Alligator mississippiensis: one gene and its partner. The protein of the gene in region 1 purifies or fractionates together with the protein of each later gene. This does not show direct contact. Links are inferred from orthologs where the notes say so. Each region holds a gene or a part of one and is shown in the gene's direction. Other genes may lie near its edges.

Evidence for each region.
Region 2: the proteins of BACH2 (region 1) and MAFK purify together in Homo sapiens (co-immunoprecipitation; 3 studies listed by BioGRID and IntAct, with this or other methods). This does not show direct contact. The link is inferred for Alligator mississippiensis from reciprocal best matches to the Homo sapiens genes BACH2 and MAFK.

Annotation. Positions count from the first base shown.
Region 1 is NC_081824.1:77,764,934-77,773,677, reverse strand, and holds the start of BACH2 (transcription regulator protein BACH2), read left to right. Parts: upstream 1-5,325; 5' UTR 5,326-5,904; intron 5,905-8,744. UniProt on the Homo sapiens protein: Transcriptional regulator that acts as a repressor or activator. Binds to Maf recognition elements (MARE). Plays an important role in coordinating transcription activation and repression by MAFK.
Region 2 is NC_081836.1:50,335,950-50,344,267, forward strand, and holds the start of MAFK (transcription factor MafK), read left to right. Parts: upstream 1-4,757; 5' UTR 4,758-8,318. UniProt on the Homo sapiens protein: Since they lack a putative transactivation domain, the small Mafs behave as transcriptional repressors when they dimerize among themselves.

The DNA of each region.
Region 1 (8,744 bases):
GCTATGTGGAAACTACCTAATTAAGACATAGATAAAGTTAGGTCATGTGTTAACTAGAGGCCAAAAAACCTTTATCAAGACTTATTTCAGATTTAAATAATAAAATATTTTATTAAAAAGTTTGTTTTCTTTCTTTTAATTTTTCTGCTTTTGTAAATATATTTTGTGAAGCTAGTTTGGTGGTTGCCATTTATTTTTAGGTGACTTATTCCTCTAAAGTATGCAACTTCTAGATTGACAAGTTCCATGTTTATTTTCATCTAAGGGGTTACTATTATTATTATGAGAAAATGTTTCCATTTTGGAGAGCTTTTCTGATGATGATATCTCTTTAAAACATTACAGTTGCCAACCATCAAAATACAATATAGATAATATAAAAAATAGCACATCTCTTTCTTTGTAAAGTCTCCTTTCATTCAGCTACATGTAATATTTTCCTCGTTGGTCTTCTATCATTGTCGTTGGTAAATCTTTTTCAAATTGTTAACGTTAGTGTATAACCAGTACTTTCACTGGTGAACACTGTAAACACTTTCTGAATGGTGCATAAAGAATTTAAAGATCATTTTCTGTTTCTGGTACTTGGTTCCCTAGGGCTAAATTTTTAATGGTATTTAGGCACCTAAAGATGCAGCTAGGTACCTAGTGGGATCTTCACAAGCACCTAGGTGCCTAACTCCCAGTGGGCCTCCAGTTCTCTTCACAATGCACTGAATATTCCCCTGAGGAGGCATGATCCCTTTTTTATTGACGTCAGTGGAGGTTTTGCCACTGACTAAAATGGGATTGAATTAATTACAAAGCTAGTTTAACTCAGACTGAGAGCTTTTAGTTTTATGTTTATTTTACATTGATTTTAAAACATTAGTTAGTAAAGAATTATTTCTTTGAAGATGTGTAGGATATAAGCAGAGTTTTGGGAGGTTTGTACAATAAAGCTATTTAGTTTGGTTTCCACTTGGACAGAACATGACTGTATTTTTTTTTCCTCGCTCAGTCTCCTTTCTTAACGTTATCACCCTCAGTTTAGCATTGATTCACTCATGGAATGTCTCCCCCAAACTCTGCAAGGTTTACTATGGAACATGCATGTGAAACTGATGATATAAGAAACATAATGCTTGCTTTCAGAAGCTCTCTGAAAGTGTGCGACTAATACAATGGTATTATTTTTGACACTCAGTTCTATCAAAATTAATTCGTTTTGCATCCCTTTGGAAGGCAAAGCAATGGAGGCAAACATTTTAAGCCCTTAGTCCTGTAAACCAATGCTGCTCATCCTTTTGGTGCCAAAGGCTGGACAAATGGCCTGGGGCCAGTCTGCAGGCCACATCATGACCCATGTGCCAGGATCAGACTCCACTCCGCCTCCCTCAGCTCGATTGGGGCCCAGGCCACATCTCCACACTGATCTAGCATGCTCTCCAGCATGCAGGGCTCCCCTGGACCCAGAAACTTGGCAGCAGAAAAGAAACGCTTGTTGCTGCTGCTCCCTTGCCATCAAATTTTGAGACTGAGACCCATTGGGGCCCCTGAGGGCTGGATAGTATAGTTCTGTAGCCTGGATCTGGCCTGTGGACTGAGGCTTGAGCTCAGCTGTAAACAACTGAATACCTGAGTAGACTCATGGCATTGAATTAGACTTGTAATATGATTAAAACAAGGTGTGTGTACACATACATGTTTTCATGACCAGGGCCAAAAAACCCAGCTATGAGCAGTATTTTACCTGAATAATAGACAGAAAATCATAAATTTGGGGGCAGATTACATTCATTTTCTGCAGCTGCATATCTTCACAAAGTTGACAATACTGGATAATCAATACCAGAAAAATCACACTATGTACTCTACCCTGAGTAAAATGTTGACATTGTATGTTTGTGTGAAGTGCCATTAATTACGCTTGAAAATACAGCCCATCAGATGCAGCAACTCTAATCTCAGAAGGGGGCATCAGAAGTTCCTCTCCACATACAGCTGTTGGATGAGATGGAAAATAACATTCTGTAAAATCACAGTAACATAAGAGAATGTTTCATAGTTTCATAGTTGGCAGGGTCGGAAGGGACCTAAGCAGATCATCAAGTCTGACCTCCTGCCTTGGGCAGGAAAGGATGCTGGGTTTAAATGACCCTGGCTACGTGGCTGTCTAGCCTCCTTTTGAAGACCCCCAGGGTAGGGGTGAGCACCACTTCCCTTGGAAGTTGGTTCCAGATCCTAGCCGCCCTGACTGTGAAGTAGTGCCTTCTGATATCTAGCCTGAATCTACTCTCAGTCAACTTATGGTTGTTGTTCCTTGTTACCCCTGGTAGTACTCGGGGGAACAGGGACTCTCCCATTGCCTGCTGGTCCCCTTTGGCAAGTTTATAGGTGGCCACCAGATCCCCTCTCAACCTTCTTTTGTGGAGGCTGAACAGGTTCAGGTCCCGTAGCCTCTCCTCATAGGGCCTCCCCTGCTGCCCCCTGATCATCCGAGTGGCCCTCCTCTGGACCCTCTCGATGCTGTCCACATCCCTCCTGAAGTGCAGCGCCCAGAACTAGATGCAGTACTCCAACTGCGGCCTGACCAGTGTCACATAGAGGGAGAGGATCACCTCCTGGGACTTGTTCGTGATGCATCTGTGGATGCATGACAAGGTGCGGTTAGCCTTCCTGACCACGTTCCCACACTGGCAGCCCATGTTCATCTTGGAATCAATAGTGACTCCAAGATCCTTTTCTGCCTCTGTGCTGACAAGAAGGGAGTTCCCCAGCCTGTAGGTATGCTGCTGGTTCTTCATCCCCAGGTACAGTACCTTGCACTTGTCCGTGTTGAAACCCATCCTATTATCATCCACCCACCTCTGTAACCTGTCCAGATCTAGTTGTAGCCTATAGAATGAAAATAAACAATCTGACATAAGACCCCCAAAGCATTCACAAATACAGAAATGTTAAGTACTAATTGTAGCTTTGTCTGCAACAAGCCAACATTTATTGTATATTCTCTTGGGAATATTTTCTTTTACATTTTAGTAAAATGTAAAAATCCCAGTTCGCTAAATCCCTCAAGTGCTAATACCTCATTCAGAGCTCCTGGTGTGAATCATTTGCTTGCTTACTTTCATCTTTAACAGGATCCCTTTAATCTAAAATGTTCTTCTCACCTGAATGTGGTTACATATGGTGGAGCACCTTATTGGCTAACCCATTAAGAGGAACAGCATTTCTACAGCCTACTTCCTGAGATGCTTTCATATAAAGGCTTCTGCCTCTGAATGAGCTAATTTAGATGGTGCCATATGCCCTGCCTTCTATCTAACTTTAGACTACCATGGCAAATTACCTTTCTCACGGTTACATACATTAGGCGTACTAAATTCTGTTTACTCCTGTTCTAATGTTAGTATTTATAAACTCAGGATTTCATCCCAAATCTCATGGTATATGGCATTTTTTTTAAAGCCCCTGCTGCTTGACTCAAAGTGACTGCACAAGAATCTCAGCCTTCACTTTTTTTGAGGTTGATGGCGGGGAGGGGAGACTGGAAAATATTTGCTTGCACATCTTCAAACCCAGAATACAGGGCAAAAGAACCCAATCTCTCATGTTATTTTCAGGCTCTTTGGGCTCTTTTTTTAGCCATTCTTCTGATCTGATGGGAGGTGACCTCTTCTTCCTATTCTTCTGATCTGGTGGGAGGCCACCCATCCTAGTGGGATATATGGGTCTGGAAATGTGATCTGGGCAGGAGATTTTCAGGGACCTGGTCAGGTCAGGGTGTTTTCTGTGTCCTTTCATCGCATCTGATGAAGTAAGCTTCAGCTCATGAAAGCTTGTGGTACAGATAAATCAATAGATGGATAGATGGATCTACTTTGATTAGTCTACAAGGTGCATATTGTCATGACCCAAAGGTCTGATTTTGTGTGTGCTTCAGCACTAGAATTATCCCCGTAGGTTTACAGCTTCATTGCACAGTGAGTTTTGCTGTACAGAGAACCTGCGTGCAAAGGAGAGAGTTCCCGCCACTTTGCAGCTGTCTTTGCAGGGTGCATTTTCTTTGCAACACAGAAATGCACGGTGCAAAGAGTTCCCGCTCTTCGCATGCAAATTTGTGTCCCGCTATTGGCTAGTTCTAAATTATTCCCACATGGCGGCTAGCGATTGGCCTGCTAGCCATATAAGAGGCTTGAGCAGTTTCCGCCCAAGCCGAAGAGGACTCCACATCCATCTCGTGGGGACTCTGGGCACACGGCAGGGTCATCGAAGCCCTGAGTGTTACTCAGAGGAGTTTGGAGGCCTGATCCACCGCCCACCTCTTCCCGTTTTTGAGCGGTAACTTTCTATAAGACGTATCGACGAGTTTTCTATTTTGAGGCGCGCTTGTCCTGGACATCCGGAGTTCTGTCTACGTGGAGCCTAGCAAACTCCATGTGATAGTTCGTGTTTTCTGTTTGTAACCGCAACTCAAACAAGTTTTTCAGCCTGCACCGCGACCATCTCGGTGTAAGTAAACAATCTTAAAATCAACCGTTACGTGTCTGTGCCTAATTCTAGCTCGGCGCCCGCCCTCTCCGACCCGGCGTGCCCGGGCTGCCGGCCACAGCCCGCGTGCAGCGCGACAAAGGGCCCGGGTTCACACCCAGCCGGCACACAATTCTCCCCTGCCTTCTATAGACCAGGTAGCCTGGAATCAACATGGGGAACCGCCCTCCGGTCGTGTTGATGCAGGGGTGACTAGATTCGGAGCCCGGCCTGGCAAAGCACCATGGCAGCTTTGTCATGCTGTGGCCCTAGGTCACTATCCTCGGTTCTCTAGACCATTTTGGCTTGAGCCTCTGCTCCATGCCCTGATGGGCCCAGCTCCATGAATCCTAGCAGAGTGGGTAGGTGGATGGTGGGGGAGTGGGGTAGGAGAGTGAGGTGGGGGGAGGGTGTGGGAAGGGGCTGTGTGTGTGTCTGTGGCAGGGGAGTGGGGCAGTGTGTGGGTGTGTGTGGTTGGGGCATGGAGTGGGAAGGGTGCGCGTGTGTGTGGTGGGGGAGTGGGTCAGGTGTGTGTGTGGTGAGGGAGTGGGTGTGTGTGTGTGGCAGTGGAGTGGGCCAAGGGGGGTGTGTGTGTGTAAGGGAGCACAGGCCAACCACAACTTGCCCTTGTCCTTCTTGGACAACCAGTGAGCTCATCTCACCGCCCCGCCCCTCCCCTCCTCAGGGTCAGCGGGAACTACAACTCCCAGCGTCCCGTTCGGCCGCGCGCGAGACGCCGCGCGGACCCGGCGCGATTCTCTCTCCGACAACCCGGGGCGGGGGGGAGGATGCGCATGCGCCGAGGGTCCCGAAGCGGCGCTACGCGTGTTGCCGTGCGTAGAGCTGCTGTCCGCTGAGGCGGCGGAGTGCTACGTGGTTTGCGTAACGCACTTGTGAATGGGGAAGGCGGGGGGCAGGGGGATGATGTCAGCCTTCGAATGTCAACAATGTAGCGATTGAGGGAGGAGGCGCCGCAGCAGGAGCGGAGCGCGGGGAGCGGGTGGCCGCACACCGGGGCCGCCGCCGCACGCGCACCGCCGCCGCCGGGCTGCCCGGGACTCCAGCCGCCGCTGCCGCCGCCTCGCGCCGCGCCCGCCCCGGCTGCAGCAGCAGCAGCTCCTCCGCGGTGCCGTCGCGCCTCCCAGCTGCTGCAGCCGCCTCCGCTCCTCCTGCCCCCGCCCGCCTCTTCCCAGCCGCCCCCTCCCTTTCTTCCCCGCGGCAGGACGGGGAGCAGCGCTCGGCAGCCCGCGCCATGTGATGCGCGTCTCTCCGGGGGCAGCTCGCGGTGCGCGCCTTTGAAGCACCCCCCTCCGCCGCCGGGAAACAGCCCGGTCCTCCCTGCCCGGCCGCCCCCACCTCAGGGGGAGCGACCCAAAGTTGCATTCAGCCAAGGTGAGTGCTTTTCTCCCCGCCCTCCCTCCCCCTCCGCGCCCCCACTGCTCCTGGGAGGGGATGGATGGGGATGAAGTTTGCAGGGGTAGGGGGCTGCAGCTGGGACGGGCTGCATCGGTTTGGTGTCTCCTGAAAGAAGAGGAAAGCTTGGGGGGTCCCTTCACCTGCCCGGCGGGGGGGGGCCTACCTGCCCCCCTTTAACCCCTTCCCTGGGCAGGAGGCTGCTCAGCCCCATCTGCCAAGTGGGGAGTGCGCGCAGGTTGCGTCACTGAGAGTGGGCAAGAGGCACCCAAGTCTCTGTGTGTGCCTCCAGCTGTGTATGTCCCTCCAGCTGTGTGGGGCTGGGGAGAACATGATGGCTGGGTGTGAAGGAGGAGGGGGCGGGTGTTGCAGGGGGCGACTGCCTTTCATTGCATGAGGGGGGAGAGTGCTGCCCTTGGGGTGGGTGTGCAAGGAGGAGCAGGGGGCGGGGGGCTGGATTTGTGGGCCCTGAGTAAAGGCGCCGTCAGATTTGGAAGGATCCTAAAGACCCCCTTGGGTCGTGTGTCATGTCCCCCGTCTCCCCCCCCCCTCATCTGCTGGGTGCTTTTCACTCTTTTGTGCCCCAGATCCGAGCAGCAGGGCAGGGAGAAAGGGGGGGTGGGTCCCATCCCCATGAGTGTGAGCAGGGCTGAATTTGGGGCTTAGGTTCCCTCCAGAGCAACCCCTCCCCCCAGCACACCTGCAGGGAATGCTCCCACCTGAGCTCTTTCTGTCTAGGGGTTTCTGTTATGGATCAGGAGCCACCCTGTTGCTTAGTGCCCTGGTGTCCCCCTTCCCCCAACCCCCACACACACTCTTCCTTGGTGCAGGCAGTGTGCAGTGAAGTGTTGGGGGTCACTTCCAAAGCTGCTGCCTGGGGGGACTGAGTCACTGCTGCTGCTTTCCTGCTTCTGTGGTTTGTCTAAGATTGCATTGGGGTGTTTGGAGGGGGCTGTCCCCCACATGCACCTGGGGCTCCAACTCTGCTGTAACTTGACCACAAGTTGTTGCCACAAACAACCATAGATGTATTTTTTATTTGACGCACTCAACACAGTTGGCAACTGACTCTACTCCCTTGGAGGTGCCTTTGTGGCAAGCAAGAACCTGCTTTAAATAGCCAAGCATCTGCTCCAAACTTCTTCATGGTTGTGTATCAGGCAGCACCTTTTCTTAAGAGCAGTGTCTCTATATCAATTTAATCAGTTCAGTGTACTAAACCAAAAAAAAATTAATTACTCCCCATAAAATCTTTCCTGTCTGTTGGGAACCTGACAAGAGATGAAACTTAATGAAATACTTTTCTCTCTTTTTTTTTCTGGTTTGGAGTAAAACTGGAGAGAGATGTTAACTCTGATAATTTTCTTGGATCACTAAAACATAGCATGTAGGTAAGGCAGTTAGCTGCAGAGGCTCTGGCTGTCATGAAAGTAGCTAAGTGTGAAATCATGCCTCGCCTTTTGTGGAACAGGCTATTTTTATAATACAGCGGGTGTCTTCCTTAAAAATGCTTTGGTTATTGTGAGATCACCGTGCTCTTATTACTGAAGCCCTGCCAGCTCTGGAGTAAACGACGTTTTTCATTCTTGAAGATAATCATAAATGTGAGGCAGAAATGACACCTTATTAGAATTAGTCTTTAGTCTGTTGGGAAGATTGCTAAATTATAGTGTTGCTGTTTTCTCTGCCATGGTTGAAGACTTGTCAGTGTTTTCATGACAAAAAAAATTTTTTTAGGTCTTTGGAATTGTCATAAATGTGTGCATTTTAATTCAGTATTCAAAGGCTTGAACTGGGAGTGGAATTTTTCTTTGCAGGTGGATTTGTATGAGATTTTGTTTTGGCTGCATGCAGTGGTGTATTGTTTGGAGGTGGTGCTTTGTATAATGTGACGGGGGTTTTTTGTATATGAGGAAATTGGCGTTTTGGTAAGAAACAAGGAGTAGTTGCTTTTAATACTATGGATAGAATAAAATTGCCAAGGAAACATGTTAAACCATTGACTCCTGGGCTAGTATTAGTAGTGCTTCTTTAACATTTTAGAAGATACGTCATCCCATAAATCAAAACTGTACATATTTTTAAGATGCATGCACATTCTTTTGAAAATCTGAATTAGCTTTGCATCCTCTTGCACGGGGTTCATCAATAGTATGTCATTGCCCGTATAGCAGGTGGACTGCCATAGTTGAGCATGAAAATGACACTAAAAGCATGTATCCTATATACTATGGTGAAATACTATCTAACTCCAAAAGCTAATTTGATGGTGTTGAATGCCATCTGCACAAAATGGAAGGAAACCCTGTCTTGTCACAGTAGGGGATTGGGAATTAGGATTACAAATTTCTGTCTCTAGATCAGTGGTTCTCAACCTTGTAAGACTCAAGGCACTACTTGGAAAATGTCAGCTCTTAGCTTTCCTTCAGTTTTTGGCTATGGAAAAATAATAGAGCCATTCTTCTGTTGCAGAGAAACCAGAAAGACTGCAACAGGTCAGAATGTTTTTGATGCTATGAATTCTTATTTGAAGTCTTGTTAATCATGTGTAGGTGTGTGCATAACTAACAGTGCTAATTTTGTGGCAGCTTTAAAGGCATCTCATGGCATCTCAGGTGCTGGTTGAGAATCAGTGCTCTAGATCATTGTTTTACCTGCTGGATAATATTGGGCAAGATGTGTAATGCGATGTACCTCAGTTTACCCAAATCTAAAATGGGAAGAATACTTGATAGCCATTTTGCAAAAGCAATTCATATTTTTAAGGCATCTTAAGATCCTCTAATGAAAATTTCTGTAGGGCCACAGGTAGTGTAAGG
Region 2 (8,318 bases), on another chromosome or scaffold:
CTTCTGCCTGCTATACCGTAAAACTCCTGAGAGAAGCCCCTTCGGAGTCTCTACCGCTTCTGCCTAGTAGCAGCTCATCAATCCTACCGTATTGCATGCGGCTTGAAGTTCAAGTTATTTCTACCCAAACCTTTTCTGTTTATAGCCAGAGTTTTAATAAACTCCATAATCAACAATATGGTATCGATGGTTACCGGGTCCTCTTCATTGTCCAAACACAGTGGGAATTTGTAAAGAGGATTTTAAAGCTCATTACAAACCTGGATAAGTCTTATGATCCCTGCTTCCCAGATGATACTGGGTCAGGGGCTTGTTCAAGGCCCCCTAGGCCAGCGGTTCTCAACCTTTTGCATCTTACATCCCACCAACCATTTTGTCAAATGGTCCCACCCTATGTTACATTCACTGGGGAACAGAGAAAGGAGAGCTTTTTTCTGCTTATTAATGAAAGCCAACAGGAGGTAGTTCACCAGAAAAATGTAACAGCCCTTTCCACGTGCACTAAACAGAAGCCAGAAAGAAGTAGCTATTGTGAATGGGTCACCACCACTAGCTGTGTAATTTCACACTGAAAAAACCCTGTTGCTTACAAGTGCAGACTGGCCACAACATGGAAAAGCCTCTCCCAGCCACCTGAGCAGGCTGCCGGCTAAAGTGGGCTTCTCCAGAGAAGCAGAGCAACTTTACCAAGCTCAGGGACCCAGCCCTGCCCCTTTAACTGAGCCCTTTATTAATGTGATCAGGCATGGCTCTCACCCAACACCAGACAACGGTTTTCTAACCCAGCTGTGACTACACCAGAACCATACTGCAGGCTGCCTTCCCCTATCCTGTGACAACCTGGTATTAAAAATCCCCCATGCCAAGGTACTCTGGGATCTGATATTCACTCTGGATGTGGGAGCTCTGTCTCTCTGCTCCATGCTAACTTCAAGCAGCCACAAGGAATAAACCCAGCATTACTGGCCCCATACTGTGAGTGGGCACAAAGAAGCTACAAGCTGCCCTTGAACTCTGAGCCCTAGGTGTGTGCGTCCACATCAGGTACACCCACGCCTGGGACTGCAGTCCACAGCGGGAAAGTCCACCGCAGGGTTTTAACAGGGTGCATAACCTTGGGACACATGAAGACCAATGGCATTGGCACCTGGGCCTTAGAGCTTTGGAAACTTTAGCCAGCCTGGTTCTCTCCGTTCCAAATGGACACGACTTCTGCTTGGGAGCAGTGCTGTACCTAGACGCCTGGTGGTCCTGGCCAAACTTTTAGTATTGCCTGAGCCAACCCTAGGGTGGTGCAGGACACAAGGCAAATCAGCCTGTGCGGGGCCCCCTTAACACTGCATGGGGTCATGGTACCCCTGCAAGGGGTGGCTCTCCGTGCTTCTTCCACGGCACAGGGCTGAGCCGCCAGCTCCAGGCAGGCCCCATGGGAGGGGCTGCAGGCACTCCGCCCGGCTCCGCAGGGCCCCTGCAAAGTGCAGGGCCTGGGACGGTCGCCCCGATCCACTGTACCCTAGGGACGGCTCTGAGTATTGGGCCCCCTTCGCCAAAGATAATGATTTTTTTTGTTGTTGCAAAAGTCTTTATCACATTTGTGGTACTGATGTATTTAAATAGTTCATTCTCAACTGACAACATTGCCAGTCCCATATATGCACAATATTAAAACTTTTTTTTTGCAATTGTGATTTTTTTCCCCATTTTTGGGCTCCCTCTTTGTCTGGACCCTGGGCAGCCACCCGGTTCGCTCATGCCTGCGTCCAGCTCTGCTTGGAAAAAGGGAAAAAGGAGCAGGAAATGAAAGCCAATAAATAGCCAGTTCTGACTCCTTGATCTGCTGCCTCAGCAAATGTTAGAGTAGCCTGGAGGGTGCTCTAAATTATGCTATTTCTATGTCTTTACAGGAACCATCCTACCAGTTGAGGGTACTTGGAGCACTTAAGGGTCCAGCCACATTTCCTCCCTGCTGTTCTCACCCTCCCCTGTGCCTTGGGCTGTTCAAAGGAACATGAAGGAGCCAGATATGCTGGCTTGACACCTCCCCTTGTTACTGGGAAAATCCCAGCAGGATTTTCTGCTCCCTTCACTACCCGAGCTGTGCAAAAGGGGGTGGCGCGAGACAGAGATTCTGGCTCAACATATTGATGATGTTTGACATCTTTGACATGACATCTTTGGCCCTCAAGCTGAGCACCACTGGCCTAGATTGGCAGGTAGTTTTTCAGTTCAAATATAGTCACAAGCCTAATCACAGAGAGACTAAAAGCCTGGTGTCGATATACAAAACTCTGCATCTTTTTTCATTAAAAGTCTAGGCTAGTTCACCCTGGTCTAAAATTGGGAAGACGTAGTGCTCTCGGGGGTCTAAAATGTTGCTCGCACGGTCGACGCGACGCTCAGCGACGAGGAAGCGCCGCCACAACTCGGGATTTCGTTGGCCAGTCGCAATATCCAACGAACGGTTAAATCCCCGGCTCCTGAAAGCAGACACCGGGAAACTTTTGCTTTTAAGGACAGATGTTTCCTTCCTTCACCAAGGATTTGAAAACACCAACCATCCGCCAAAAACCCCAAAGCCTTTAGGTTAGGAAGGAGGTGATTTTCGTGACTGGGGTCACAACTTCTGCACGCGGGAGGTGGGCGACAAGACGAAGACGGGACCAGCAAGTCCCAGCGCCAATTCTGCGGCTTTCCTCGCCTGCCCTAGCCTGGAGGTTGCTTCTTTCTTCCCAGGAACCTTCCCAGGGACCTCGCTTGCCCTCGCCCAGATGTGGCAACTGGACACGTGCCTTTTTCTGCGGCCTTGCGGGTTGCGCAAAAGCCCCCGGGGGCGGCTCCAGGAGGAAGTGCTTGCAAAGCAAAAGAAACTGAAACCGAAACAGGCAGGGAGGAACAGGCCGGGGGAAGGGAGGTGAGGTGGGGGTTCCTCCCCGCCACGAGCCAGGGAATAGTGTAGCAGAGGCTCCGACGACCCTCCGCCGGGAGCCCCGCGCGCTTCGCCAATGAGCACGGCGCCCGACCGCGCGCGCGCTCCGCCAATCACGAGAGCCCTCACGCTTTCTCCCTACCTTCCACATGAATGAACCGCGTGGGCGTGGCCTCGTGACGCGGCGGCGCCGGCAGGGGCGTGGCCGCGCGACGCGAGCCGTGACGCGTGGTTCCCGGAAGCGGGGCGGGCGCTGGTTGGCCGGGCGGGCGGGCGCGGGGGGCGGGGCCGGTGCGGGGCGGGGGGGGAGGGGGCCGCGCTTGTTGTTGTTCCCGGGACTGGCTCGCAGGGAGGGCGGCTGCGGAGCCCGGCCCCGCCGCGCGGGTGAGGGGGGCGCGGGGCGCGGAGCGGGGCGGGGGTCGGGCCCGGCCGGGCCGAGCCGAGCCGCTGAGTCAGCGCGGGGCGCACGTGGCCTGGGCCCGCTGGATGCGGGGTCGGCCCCGCCGCGTGACTCAGCACGGGGCGCCCGGCCCCACCCGGGGCTCTGCTCCCACGTGGCCGCGGGGCCCGGGCTGGAGGGGGAGCACGGAGCCGGGCTGGGGGCTCAGTACCAGGGAGAAGCCCCCTCCGGAGGAGGGTCCCCAGGGCTTGGCCCCCGTGGCCTGAAGAAGCCCTCGCCTGTTGCACAAAAGTTGGGCGGTTTGGGAAGGGGCGGGATGCTGCCTGGCCGGGGTCCGCCTGGGTCTCGAGAGGCCGGCGAGACCCCGGCTGTGCTTGGGTGGACCTTGGGGGCGCTGGAAACGAGCCAGCGGGTCCCCGGTTGTGCCCTGCGCGCCGTGCTCGGAGACGCGCCCGGGTCGCCCTGCGTCGGGCGGATAGTAGCAGAGGGCGCGTTGCTGCGGGAGAGCGATGGAGCAAGTGACTTCTTGGTGGCAGGGATGGGAGCGACGGCCCGGCAGACCGAGGAGGGGCCGTGCTGGAGGGGTCCCTGGCTGGCCGGTGGGGACGCAGGCCAGCCGGGGACGAGGTGGCTTGCTGGAGGGGACACCTGCCAAGTAGACCGGTGGGGTTTCGAGACCGCGCCCTCCGCAGAGGGCGGGTGGGGCTTCCTGAGAACCGCTTTTCTCCCCCTGAGCGGGTGGTGGGGTGGGATGTTAGCTCCGTGGGGGTGGAGAAGCCTGGCTTCTGCTCCCTTCCCCCCCGACAAAGGAGTGGCACTAGTGAGAGAAATGTCCAGGCCGCGAGGGAGGGGAAGTGAGACATGTCTGAACTCTAGAAACATGCCATGGTCAGTTGGAGAGAGAGCTCCTTCCTCCTCCTCCTCCTCCTCCTCCTCCTGTGGCCAAGGGGTGCTGGGACTCTGCTTCCCTGGGCTGTGCGGGGTGGAGGAGAGGGGACTCGTTCTCCAGCTCCTGGAGGAAAGCAGGCCGGGACAGCTCCACTTAGGAGCAAGCGCCCTTTGGGGAAAGTGGCAGTGCAGGAAATGGAAAAGCTGCCATTCCTTCTCTGCCCTCCTGCCCCCTTCCTAGCTCAGCTCTGGGGGCCGGGGAGAAGGCAAAGAGGTGAGAAGCCAAAATGCCCCTGTGCCACCAGATCCAAAGCTGCACGTCTTATTATTGGAGGTTCGGTCCCTGGGCGCTTGGCATGTGCAGGCAGGGGCACCCCTGCTCCCACGCCAGCCCAGCCAACATGCTGTGCCGCGGTCCTGCAGTGGCTTAGTATGGAGGGAATTTACCTTGCTGCTTGCTCACTGATGGAGCCGGTGCTTGCTCCCTGCTCTCTGTCTCTTCCGTGTATACACTGTAATGCAGAGTAACCTTCCTCCCGCAGTCACTTCCTAAACATGATGGATGCTCCGGTTATCCAATGGCCGTGCCTAGCATTGGCAGCACCGAGGGGAGGGAGGATTAACCCTGTTTGTACCTATCCTGGTGACAATATGGAGGATGTTTTTTTCAGGGAGGAGATGGTTACAGCAGGGAGAGGGCTTGTGGGTTTTGGTTAGCAAGATGCTCCACATACTTTAGACTTTGGGGCTTTATTCCTGCACTTCGGGCTAGCTGTGTTAAATGATCTTGGGGTAATTCATATGCAACCTCAAGAAGTATTTTTAAGTAAGGCTACAAGAGGTCCTTCATATTGGGGAAGTTTCACCTATGTTCTTTCCCCAACCTGTTGCAGCGGTAGTGGTTTAAACCTGTGTCTGGCTTGAAATAACTAACAGAGTTTAATGGTGAATGAAATAAAGCCTAAGCAGCCGAGTGTTTATAATGGCTTTCTGAAGCCCCCTGGTTTTGCACTGAAACTTTGTAACAGTCGGATGTTTGGGAGGGGAAGCAGGGACAGCTGGAGCTCTTGGCCCCCCAGGCGGTATGGCAGGCAGTCAGGGCGGGTGGGATAAGTGCGCTTGCAGCTCGTTTGAGTAAATATGCAGCTGCGAAACTCTCCAGCAGTGCTGACGCTTGCAATTATCAGGGAATTTCAGGCTCAGCCCCCCATCAAGAGGCGCAGGCGGTTTATGCTCCTTTCTGGGCTGTTGTTTCAGGCTATCTGCAAACTCGGGCAGATATTGCTGCATCGCTTTTTGCTGCTTCTCTCTTGTTTGGAAGGCTGTCTCACTGTGGGCCTGGGATGCCAAAAAAACTTTTTTTTAAGTAAATGAAAGCAATTATCCTGCTGCTCAGCTCTAAAACTGGGCGCATCCTGCAGCACGCTTCGCTGTCTCGCAGTCTGGGTGCCTGAATAACCATCCTCATGTCTGTCATCATTCACATTCACATGGAGGTGGAGGTTGGACTTAGTCCACGGGGCTCAGGAGAATTCACAAGCCCTCATCTCAGTTCTGCCTCTTGGCCCCATAGAAATCGCTGACCACGTACTACCTTGATTTCCCCAGGTCACAAAAGTACTTTTTCTGTGCTATGGTGATGTGGGACTTAACTCATTTTTGCAGTGTATTTTCGTTTGATCACTTCCATAAAACGCACTGTGGGGAGGAGCGCTGCCCTGTGTCTGCTGTGTCTGAAGCTGTGAGCAGTGTATCCGACCTCTTCAGTAGCTGCCGTTCCCCCTCCCTCTTCCCCCCCTGTAAGTCCAAGGTCTCTGTAATGTGACACACAGGCACACTCTCATGATAGCCTGAATCGGCCGCTCTGTAACCATAGGCTCTCTGCAGCATCTGACTAGGTTGTTTACCAAAGCATTGAAGACTGTCTGATCCCTGTCCAGGCTTCCCCCGAGAGAGCCTCCGAGTCGTGTCCCGGCAGCTCTCAAATTCTGTCTGAAGGTTCCTGAATCTGTTCTTTGCTGGTGGATGCTGGTTCTGATCCATAAGGGAAATGGAAAGCTGGCCAGCTGGGCGAGTTTAGTGTGTAGAAAGTAAACAGTGACTCACCCCTCCCTGGTCTCTTCTCTGGGCTCATGGAGAATTGACTGCTTTGCATGTGTTTGCTGTCTCCTTGATTCACATCATCAGCATCCCCCCGCACCCTCCCTTCATCCAGATGAACGACAAGTGTCAGTTTGTCTTGCAGAATGCATGAGGACTGCTGAAGCAGGGGGAGGACCCGGGGATGATGGGAGGGATGGTGCTGTCTGCATTTCACACTGCAGCGTGTTGGAAATCCATGTCAGGTCTCCAAGGGGCAGAGGCACAGAGCTTGGGGCTTAAGCATCTGCAGTTCCCTTCACCTATAAGACCTGATGTCCTCCTTGGTGGCCACATTCACGCGGCCAGCTTTGGAGAAATGGTCGGCTGATGTGACCATCTCGCGGGTGTCTCCTCTGGTGTGTGGCGGTGCGATTGTAAGATCTGGGTAAGTGTGTGCTGCTTTCGGGGTTGAAATGCTCTGTGTGGACCAGGAGGAGGGTGGGAGGTTCAGGCTTCTGGCAGCAGCGGGAACCAGGACTTGCTGCCTAACCTCCAATAATCTGACCGCTCATTGATGGCTGCTTGGAGCTTGAATGTGGAGGGTCACCAGTCTTTTGAAACTTTTTGCCTTTATGTCCCTTAAGAAAGGGAAAGAGGGCCAAGTAGCTTGTGGGTAAACTGGAAGTGTGGATAGGTTGCTGACCAGCTGCCTTACAAATCGTCTCACTGTGTTTTGGACTGGCTGGAGGCAGTACTGCTGATTTAAGCCTCTGGGCAGAATGGAGATTCTTGATGTGATGAGTTGTACAAGACGGAGAGACCTCTACCATGCAACCATCCTGGCATGGCAGTGCTCCTAGGGAGGAGAAAAGCGGTCATTGGCCCTTTTGGGCTGAGGATTGTGCATCTTCACATTGCTGTCCTTGCCGTCTCGCGTGTGTCTGAATGGAAGCTAAACGCTGATGGGGCTTTCTGCTGGATAATTTTGTCCTGGCCACTGTTCCATTTTGGGATAAATGGGTTTTAATGTTCAAGGCTGTGTACAAATTACTCACAAGTGCATCCATGCCTGCTGTGAGGTAGCAGCTATGACTGTCACTAATGCATTGCTTTGTAAAGTGCTTTGGGAGCCCCAGCATGTGAGGAGTGCTATTTAAAAACTGATGTAGTCTACTGTGCTCTTCTTCCTTGCAAGTCATCTCACATCGCAGTGCACTCCTGCCTCTATCCACTAGTTAGGGCTGTCTATCTCCCCTGTCTTGAGCTGCCTCTAAGAAAATTAGTAGGGGTTATCAGTGGTGCCAAACCAAAACCACGCAGCTTGGAATTCTGTCCCGGATTCTCCTGACAATGTTGACAGTGATAAGGGGAGGTGAACAAAGGTATTGGGAAGAGTGCCAGGGGATCATTTTCGTCTAAAAACATGACATCACTACAACAAAAGCACTTCTTAATACTAAAGATGCCAATCTGTAAGCCCTTATCCCCTCATCGGGGGCACAGAACTGTCTGCTGTTCTTGTATGATACTCAGAAGTGTGCCAGGCTGCTTGCAAAATAAAGATGTAATGTGGCCCGTGCTCTAAAAAGCTTCCATGCTAACTTTAGATATGATGAAGCAATTGCAATTAAGAAAAGAAGGGCAGGAATAGGGCAGAGAAAGAAAAGGGAGCTTCAAAACACCTCTGCAAGCTGTGCAGTGGACATCCCTCAGTGTGGAATAGTTGCATCTGTTTACCTTTTTACTAGAAGGGTTCGTCTTTGGATTCTAAAGATAGGAAATGCCACACACTGTAATATATTTAACTGCTTGTGGGCGATAAATGGACAGTTTTAATCAGTACAGATTGTAAGTATTTTTATCCTCGCTTTACAGATGGGGAGATTGCGTCATATTTTAAGAAACCAACCCAAGGCCACAGCGGACGTAATTATTGGTCAGGATTATAACTCTGAGTGCTTGTTCCAGGTCCTGTGTTTGGACCCTGCCTGCAGGCTGATTTACTTTATAAGATGATGAGTC